Linked DNA regions of Caenorhabditis elegans. The protein of the gene in region 2 purifies or fractionates together with the protein of the main gene of each other region. This does not show direct contact. Each region holds a gene or a part of one and is shown on either strand. Other genes may lie near its edges. The genes, in order: arf-1 and rfgp-2.

What was found.
Region 1: the proteins of rfgp-2 (region 2) and arf-1 fractionate together in Caenorhabditis elegans (co-fractionation; one large-scale study listed by BioGRID). This does not show direct contact.

The regions. Positions count from the first base shown.
Region 1 is NC_003281.10:5,714,273-5,718,055, reverse strand, and holds arf-1 (ADP-ribosylation factor 1-like 2), read right to left. Parts: upstream 1,942-3,783; 5' UTR 1,941-1,941; coding exon 1,793-1,940; intron 1,720-1,792; coding exon 1,609-1,719; intron 1,510-1,608; coding exon 1,301-1,509; intron 1,216-1,300; coding exon 1,138-1,215; 3' UTR 512-1,137; downstream 1-511. UniProt on the Caenorhabditis elegans protein: Small GTPase involved in protein trafficking between different compartments. Modulates vesicle budding and uncoating within the Golgi complex. In its GTP-bound form, triggers the recruitment of coatomer proteins to the Golgi membrane.
Region 2 is NC_003280.10:5,426,831-5,431,533, forward strand, and holds rfgp-2 (ARF GTPase activating Protein), read right to left. Parts: upstream 2,743-4,703; 5' UTR 2,738-2,742; coding exon 2,660-2,737; intron 2,574-2,659; coding exon 2,522-2,573; intron 2,477-2,521; coding exon 2,337-2,476; intron 2,287-2,336; coding exon 2,113-2,286; intron 2,068-2,112; coding exon 1,633-2,067; intron 1,584-1,632; coding exon 1,273-1,583; intron 1,218-1,272; coding exon 1,052-1,217; intron 996-1,051; coding exon 897-995; intron 846-896; coding exon 744-845; intron 652-743; coding exon 619-651; downstream 1-618. Other genes in the region: srx-114 (7TM GPCR serpentine receptor class x (Srx) domain-containing protein), read right to left, coding at 4,646-4,703. UniProt on the Caenorhabditis elegans protein: GTPase-activating protein for the ADP ribosylation factor family.

The DNA.
Region 1 (3,783 bases), on a different chromosome or scaffold from region 2:
ACATTAGAAGCACTGTAGGATTACTGTATTTTCAGTGTATTACGTGAACACTGAGAATGCGCATTGAGCAACATGTTCGACGCGCAAAATATCTCGTAGCGAAAACTACAGTAATTCTCTAAATGACTACTGTTGCGCTTGTGTCGATTTACGGGCTCGATTTTAGAACATAATTTATTTTCGAATTGTGACCGAAATATTTGAATTTCATCCTATTTTTCTTTTTTCTGTCATTCCGAGTCAAAAAGTGAAAAAGAACAAAGCAAAATCAGACCATGGCTACAGTAGTAATGTAAATAATTTCTGTATTTTTCGCTACGTGATATCTGTGCGCCAGACAAGTTGCACAATACGAAATTCCAGAATTTAGTTTTTCCGTATTAAAAATTTTTGCACATAGTATAACGCCTCATGTGTTAATAAATTACCCTTAAAAATTAACATTTCTTGTCCAAATTGAGGAAAAAGATCATTTTCATACTTTCATATTGTCATTATCAACAGGTGAATATAACATAATAATTTACTCCACGACAAAAAAAATGGTGAATATGATACTATAATACGGAAAAATTGAGGAAAAGCAAAACAGTGTTCGATACGAAATAGAAGAGAAGCGAAATTAAAGGTTCGAGGGGAAGGGAACGATGAAAACGAGATTTGTGTGTAGGTTTGTGTGCAATTACGCGCAAAAATCACAAAAATAGAATAATGGTTCAACAAGAGAAGAGAAACACGTTCATACTTCTTCTCGTTACACAACACTGTTTCAGGGAATATTTGAGGGAGATGGAGGGCGGAGCAGGTCAAAAATGGAGAGAAAAACAATGAATAACTTACATATTATTCCCGTCAGGAGCGGTTCCAAATGTAATCGGATAAGAAAAAATGTCGGATTTGGAAGTTAAGAAGAAATAGACGACAAATGAATTGGGGCTTTAAATAAAAATTGGGTTGAAAAAGTAGAAGAGGGCGATGGTGATCAAATTAAAAAGCCTAAGGGATGGGAGAGGGAATTTCAAATGGAACAGAGAAGAACAAAGAGAATGAATGGGGAGAAGAAAGGAGTTGAAACGAATAACAAAAACGGATGATTCGTAGTCGTTTATTCGTCGAAGGTGGATTCAGAAAAATGATTTAAGATCTATTCTTGAGCTGGTTGCTGAGCCAATCGAGTCCTTCATAGAGACCATCTCCTGATGTCGCACATGTGGCCTGGAATTAATTTATTATTGAAAAATAGTGAATTTCTTTAGTTTTAAAATATCAGATGAGAAACTGCTGATTAAAAATATCTCACCTGAATATACCACGATCGATTTCTGAGCGAGTGGAGCCCGAGCTTGTCAGTGACCTCAGCGGCGTTCATGGCTTGTGGAAGATCTTGTTTGTTGGCGAAGACCAGAAGAACGGCATCACGAAGCTCATCCTCGGCGAGCATACGCATCAGCTCTTCACGAGCCTCTCCAACACGTTCACGATCGTTGGAATCAACAACAAAGATAAGTCCTGCAAGAAAATATAATCAATAGAGCATTTTTTTTGGACAGTCTGTGAATTCTTGCGGGTGATAAGCTGATCCGCAAACTATTCTCGTAAATCACTAACCTTGTGTGTTCTGGAAATAATGCCTCCAGAGTGGACGGATCTTGTCCTGACCTCCGACATCCCACACGGTGAATGAAATGTTCTTGTATTCGACAGTCTCCACGTTGAATCCTGAAATATGAATAAAAATTATGACTCATTGTGAACCGTTCTTTCGCAACAAAAAAACGTCCCAATGACTCACCAATAGTTGGGATAGTCGTGACAATCTCGCCCAGCTTCAACTTGTACAAAATCGTAGTCTTTCCGGCAGCATCCAATCCAACCATCAGAATACGCATCTCCCGTTTGCCGAAGAGGCCTTTAAATAAGCTGCCGAACACGTTTCCCATTCTATAAATTGATTAATAAATTAAATTATTGAATTTCAGAAGAGGAACCGATGGAAGTGAAAAGGAACGCTAATAAAATGTGAAAGCTGAATCAATAATCTTCGTGGGAAATTGCGAAAAATTCGGGAAGATTTCAAATCCAATACGTGAAAATGCCAGCAACGACAATCGGAGAAAAAAGTACGGAAGACGATTGGAAGGAGGAAGAATCGGGTAAAACGTGGCAAGGAGATGGATATCTATAACAGGCGCAAGGAGCGAGAATCCAGCAGAAATACATCGGCTACACCGTCCAACGTGTCACTAGCACAGCAGTCTCTGGCGACCAGTGGAGTGTCTCTTCCTCTCTCAACCTCTCGACGCTGCTTTTTGTCTTGTTCGCTGGGCGCGTCGCGTGCGTTGCGCAGCGGTCGAATAAGAGGAGATAGATGGCAATAAGTGAAGAGACCGAGACGTGAAAGTACCGCAAGAGATGAGGAGAGAGCGAAAAAGAACAAGAGACCGTCCAAATTTGTCCGCTAGTGCAGGACGGAAGGATGAAGAACACATACACACAGGAACGAGAATAGTAATGTTCGAGTTCCTTCTACTGACTCCACGTCAGCCGTACGTTGAATCTTTCAATCCTTCAGTGAAATCTTGATTGATTGATTGAATGAACCCGAAAGTTCTAAAATTTGAACTTTGAAACAAACTTTTTCGAGTGATAAGACGATAAACTGCAACATTAAGAAAGTGATGAAAAATGCTTTTTGAGAGAAGAAAAACCTATTGAACGCGAGCGCATTGTTGAGAAATTTTGAAAATCGTGACGCAATTAAAAACTCTGAAAAAAGGACACGTGTCACAAGAGTGCAGCACGAGATACTGTGACTAATAAATAGAATCAGATGAGAAAATTAATATTAAATCAAATACAAAGCGCCAAACTTTCTAAATAGATGACCCGCATTTCCGACTAAAGCAATGTGGCGCTTCTGAAGAATGTGCTGGAGAAAAATGAAAGCTTAATAGAAACCGGCCGCCGCAGACAGTATAGATCAATGCCTTTGCGCCAATCTAGGATAGTTCATCTTTCCGCCTTTCAAAATGCCGAGAATTTCTTACTTTCTGCAGTAATTATTAGGAGTCACAAACCTTGATTTTCGAGCTTTTTGCGTTCAAATTCGGAAATAAATGAAATGACGATCAAATCAAAGATAAAATGTGACGATTGCAACGTCGAAGCAAGAAAAATTGGAGGAATAAAGTTAAGAAAGAACAAAGAAAAAAAAAATTAAAATCATTTATTTTCTGGCAATTCACGGCTAAATACGACGAAAACACACCGGTTTCCGCAAAAATACCTGTGTTTTATTGAAAATTAACTCGTTTTTTACTCGTCACTCGGGAGGGGCTCTTTTTGTACTCGTTCACTTTTCAGTGGCCCGTCTTTTATTCTTTCGCTGATTTTTTTTCGAGATCACAGCCATTATGTATTCTTTTACTTTATTTTTCTCATTTAGTGGAGTTATTGCTCTCTTTTGCTCTTTTTTGCTGGCTTTTTCATCAATGAGATATATCGATAGAAATAATGCAAACAACAAAAATGAACGAAAAAATAATGGGAACTTGTCAAGGAATCAGGTAAAAATCAATAATCATTGCGATTCTGAACAGATCACATGACAAGTTCTTAGCCAAGAACAATAAAAAATGAAGATGAAAAAGTATTGCCAAATGGGCAGTTAAACTGAAGACAATTAAAGAATGATAAGAGAGGAAATGTGATAAATTATAATGGATATACAATAGAAAAAATCGAAACAGTTTCTGATAGGCAACAATAATAAACGGGAAGAAA
Region 2 (4,703 bases):
GCATGGTAAACAAACGTGTTTTTTGGTCAAGTTTATCCTTGTTTGCGTTCTCGCGACGAAAATAAGAAAATGAGCAGCTGAGAGGGTGACTTGTTTTGGTCAGGGCTCAATGCAAAGCGAATTTTCAAGTTATAGAAATTTTTTTAAATTTCCCTGAGTTAGATGCTAGTCATGACAATTTTCAACAAAAAAAAATTGAAACGCTCTTAAGGAATTTAGAAGAAAAATATAATTGTTAAAACAAAACGAAATTCGAAAAAATGAAAATAAACTACGACACTCCGTTATTCCGGATGTGTGTGTTGTTTACAGTAAATCTACACAGCTTGCAATTACGATTTTCTCAATTTGAAGGTTTTTTTTTGAATGGAAGTTAACTTAAGTTTGTGCCCAACAAAACTGATATATGAAACATTCACAACGACAAAAGAAATTGAAAAACCCAATGACACACAACATTCAATAAAATAAAGTAAAAAAGTTTTGAAAGACCCGAAATTCAGTGAGAATACAAAAACCCATAGGTTGAAAAATAAAAGATAAAGACAAAACTAAAAGAAAACAACATTAAAAACCAATTTTACGGATGGGATAAACTCGCCGTTAAAAGCCAGGAATTTATGTTTTTTCTCCAGTTGCTGGAGGAGCACGCTGAATTGTGGATTATAAACTTATTTTAATTTTTAAACTGTCTTATATTTTTTCAATACCTCCAGAAAACTTTGGAATAAAAATTTACTTACCGACATGTAAGTAGAGAATGAACTCGACAGCGTTGACCATTTCTCAGCGACCTTTGAAGCTCCGGCACGGAAAGAATCTTTCAAATCAGACATATCAGGAACCTGAAAATTAGATTTAGAATATTTTAATTTCGATGACAGCTTCGAGCTTACTTGACTAGATTGACGTTGCTGGCTTCCGTTACCCCACAAATCTTCGGATCCAAATGAAGTCTGTCCTTCACACTTGGTCAATGCACTTCTTGTTTCACACTGAAAATATATAAAATTGTAAATTTAAAAATATTACCAATAATATAAAAACATACATCCATTTCAGGCGTTCCAAAGTACATATCACTTGAGATAGCTTTAGCATTTCCGAATTTCTTCTGAAGATCAACATCCGAAATTGGAGATGCTCCAGCAGTCAGGCGAGTCGTTGGTGCACGGGATGTTGACGAAGAGGAAGAAGATGCGGTATAGCGGGATTTTCTGGAAAAAAGTCGTAAAGTCGTGTTTTAAATTAATTTTATATAATTTCACTTACTGCACAGGTTGCGTCTCAAATGAGTCAAAGAAATCATCTTCCTTTGTTGTTTTCTTGCTACTACTCGAAGTATAGTCTTTTGAGAAGAAATCATCCTCGTTGTTCGTACTTTTCTTTCCGTACTTATCATCAATAACCTCCCAATCGTCATCTTCTTTTGGCTGTGAAGGTTTCTTGAACGTAAGAACATCATCCTGTTTAATAGATCGAATACCACCAGCGACTGAATGAGCGGCACGGGATCTACCGACACCTCCCATTCCGAGACGATCGACTGAAGCGGCTTTTGTAGGATCTTTTGCAACCTTTGCCTGAAAAATATTAACTTTAAAAACCAATGTCATTTGTTTGAAATCCTACCTCCATTTGCTTTCTTTGAGCATCAATATCTTGCATGGCAAATTTGGCACTGAGCTTTTGCAATGCAGCGGCATCATCGGATTTTTTCTTACCATCAAGCTCTGTTTGATAAGCAAGCTTGTTCGCAGCAACTTCGGCGGCCGTCTGTCTCTCTTTTTCAGCAGCTCTTTGCTCAATTTCATCAAAATTAATCCGCACTTTTTGAGCTCCGAGAGCATTTTTCTTGGCGCCGAGAGTGGCTTTCTTGATTGGTTTTTTAAGAATCACGGAAACTGGAGCAGAGGTAGGAACAGCGACGGAAGAGTCGAGATGATCAACGCTTGGACCGTGAGTAGAGTCTTCAGATTTGTGATCAGCAATATATGCATCAGAAGACAAGGAAGTAGCAGATGCAGAAGTGTGACCGAAATCTTGAGCGAAGAAATCTTCTTCCTCCTGAAATAAATAAATAAAGACGAGTATGAAAACAGTCAAACTCACAGCTGGCTTTTCCTCTGCATGAGTTACTGTATCAATAATCAATTGAGTCCCGAATTTTCGCTGGGCTTCCTGGCACAGGGTTGAGAGCTTATCTCTATACATCTGAGCCGCTCGACTTTTGTATTTTTGTTGAGCTTCAGTGGTATTGCAGCCATGCGCTTTGAAGAATTGATTCTGCAAAAAAAATGAATTCAACAGTTGTGTTTCATATCGAATAAACTAACCGCATTTCCATTTCCTCCGAGTTGCATGGCTCTCAACTGAAGCCAAGTCCAATTTGTATCCAAATTGGTGGAACGGACGAACGTGAGGTGAACACCGAGGTTACGATGAACAGCAGAACAATCAATACAGAGAAATACACCTGAAAAATGTTTAATGAGTGATTAGAATTATTTGAAATACGAACCATATGTGACAGTGCACCAGGTGGGGTTCCTCGCACCACAGTCGAAGCAGAGCTGAAAAAATACGTTTTTGTTTTTTATTTATTTTCAAGATAATATATATTTAGATTTTTCAATCAACAGCAAAATGAAAATCTTACTTTGTTCGGTGGGAGAGCTCTCATTTTTCTCATTGCTGTCTGCAAATCAACTTTGGAAGGCCCATTTTCGTCGGACATTTTGCCTGAAAAATGAAATCAATAACTTGGGTACACATGTTTGCAAAGATTGGGGGAAAAGCTGTCAAATGGCTGTACGCGAACATAAAATCAATGAAAAGAAACCGGTTTCTGCCAAATTAGAGAAAAAAATCGGCGTTCAACGCTTAGTGGATCAGGAAGTTGTTGCACTGATAAGAGATGATGGTCAATGATTTCTACATAAGAATTGGTGAAAAAATTAACTGAAAACTATCGATTAAGCCATTTTCAACGTTGGTTTGTAGTCTTTCAGTTGCGCCGGCTTCACATAATTTTAGCGAGTTACACGTCGAAAGTACGCAAACACCGCGCTGCGGACTTTGCACGGAATTTCACGAGCATTTCGAGGAAATGAATTAATTTATTTCAGAAAGAAAGTTTCTCTATTTAAGTGAAACACAGGTGTCTATAACAGCTAGTGATTGTAGATGACCATACATTTTAAAGCATAATTTTGAAACTAAAGTTATAAATGCCTCACTTTCTGATTAGTCCACAATGCTCTGCTTAAAATGTGAAATAACATTATAAATATTATACTTCGACCTTTGGTTGAAACGTGAAACGACCAGACCGACTGTGGACGGAAAAATTACCTCAAAAAATGTATTTTCAAAAAATATGGTAGTTACACCACGTAAACGTGCATCAAAATCAGTGGATAAATCAGTTGGTCACTCTCTCGAAGAAACCGAATTGGAAGATGTTGAAGATGAGGTAAACCATTATTCGAGAAGCAATTGAATAAAAGAACCTATGCCTTTATTGAAGCAAAGTGCAATTTAAGAGTGAGCTCAAATAACATGTTTCTGAGAGTAATTGATTTCTTCCAGCTACATCTTCGTTGGTATTCAGTTGGTCTCATATTTTTCAGCTTCATTCCCATATACTACTCGATAATGTTAGTAGCTTATTTGAGCCTAAAAGCCTAATCAGTTTGATCAAATTTGAGAGTTTGTCAGCCTCAGCAATTCAAGATCGATGGATTTGAGCTTATAAATCCGGTATTCAATAAACACCATTCGACGAGATCATGCACAAGTGCCACTAAATCACTACAGAATGTGAGAGATTTTCCGAATGGAATTGCAAATAAATTTTAAAAATTTCAGGGTTTAATTGCACTTTTCATATTTTACGCATTGAAAATCTACAAAAAAGTCTATCTTATCGTGCTTTATATAATTCTTATCATCCATTTTGGCTTTGAAATAAGGAATGCGAAATCGGAAACTTCTAGGAAATATATAGGTGAGCATCTAGCTTCATTATGCCTAGGCAGGCTTACTTTATTGTTGCCAAAAGATATGTGGGAGGTACCGGTTGTTGAAATAATGCTACGTTTTCAGCAATTTCTACCCGTGAAATGTTCATGTATTATGTTGAATTGCTCCTACTCTATTTTCAAAATCTGCTGCTCCTTCCTTACATCTGTGGTGGTTATTTCTTAATCAGGTATACTTAGATTCACACAAAACTTTCGAAATAAGACTACATTTCCAGACATGTGCATCGAATCCCATCAAAAGAAGAAGTCGATCGTCAAACTCTGAAATTCAAGGAAGAAGCTCGACGCATTAAACGACTAATGATAGAAGAAGATTGGCATGTGAAGGAAGCGAATGAAGATGTAAAGAACAAAATCGAACAGGAAGGATTGAAAAGGAAAGATATGGAATTTGAAGAGCAATTGTATCATTTGAGAATTGAAAAAGTGAAGAGAAGAGAACAAGTTTTGAAACAAAAACTGGAAGAAAAGAAGGCAAAGAGAAGACAAAATGCGGAGAGAAGAAAGAAAAGAAGAGAAATTGCAATGGAACAAAGAGAACAATAATTTTAGTTTTATTATTTATTTTTAAATTCATATAAACTTTATTTTAAAATAATTTATCCATTAACCCTAACAGAAAATAATCGATTTGTGGTAACAATATTCTTCGAATGA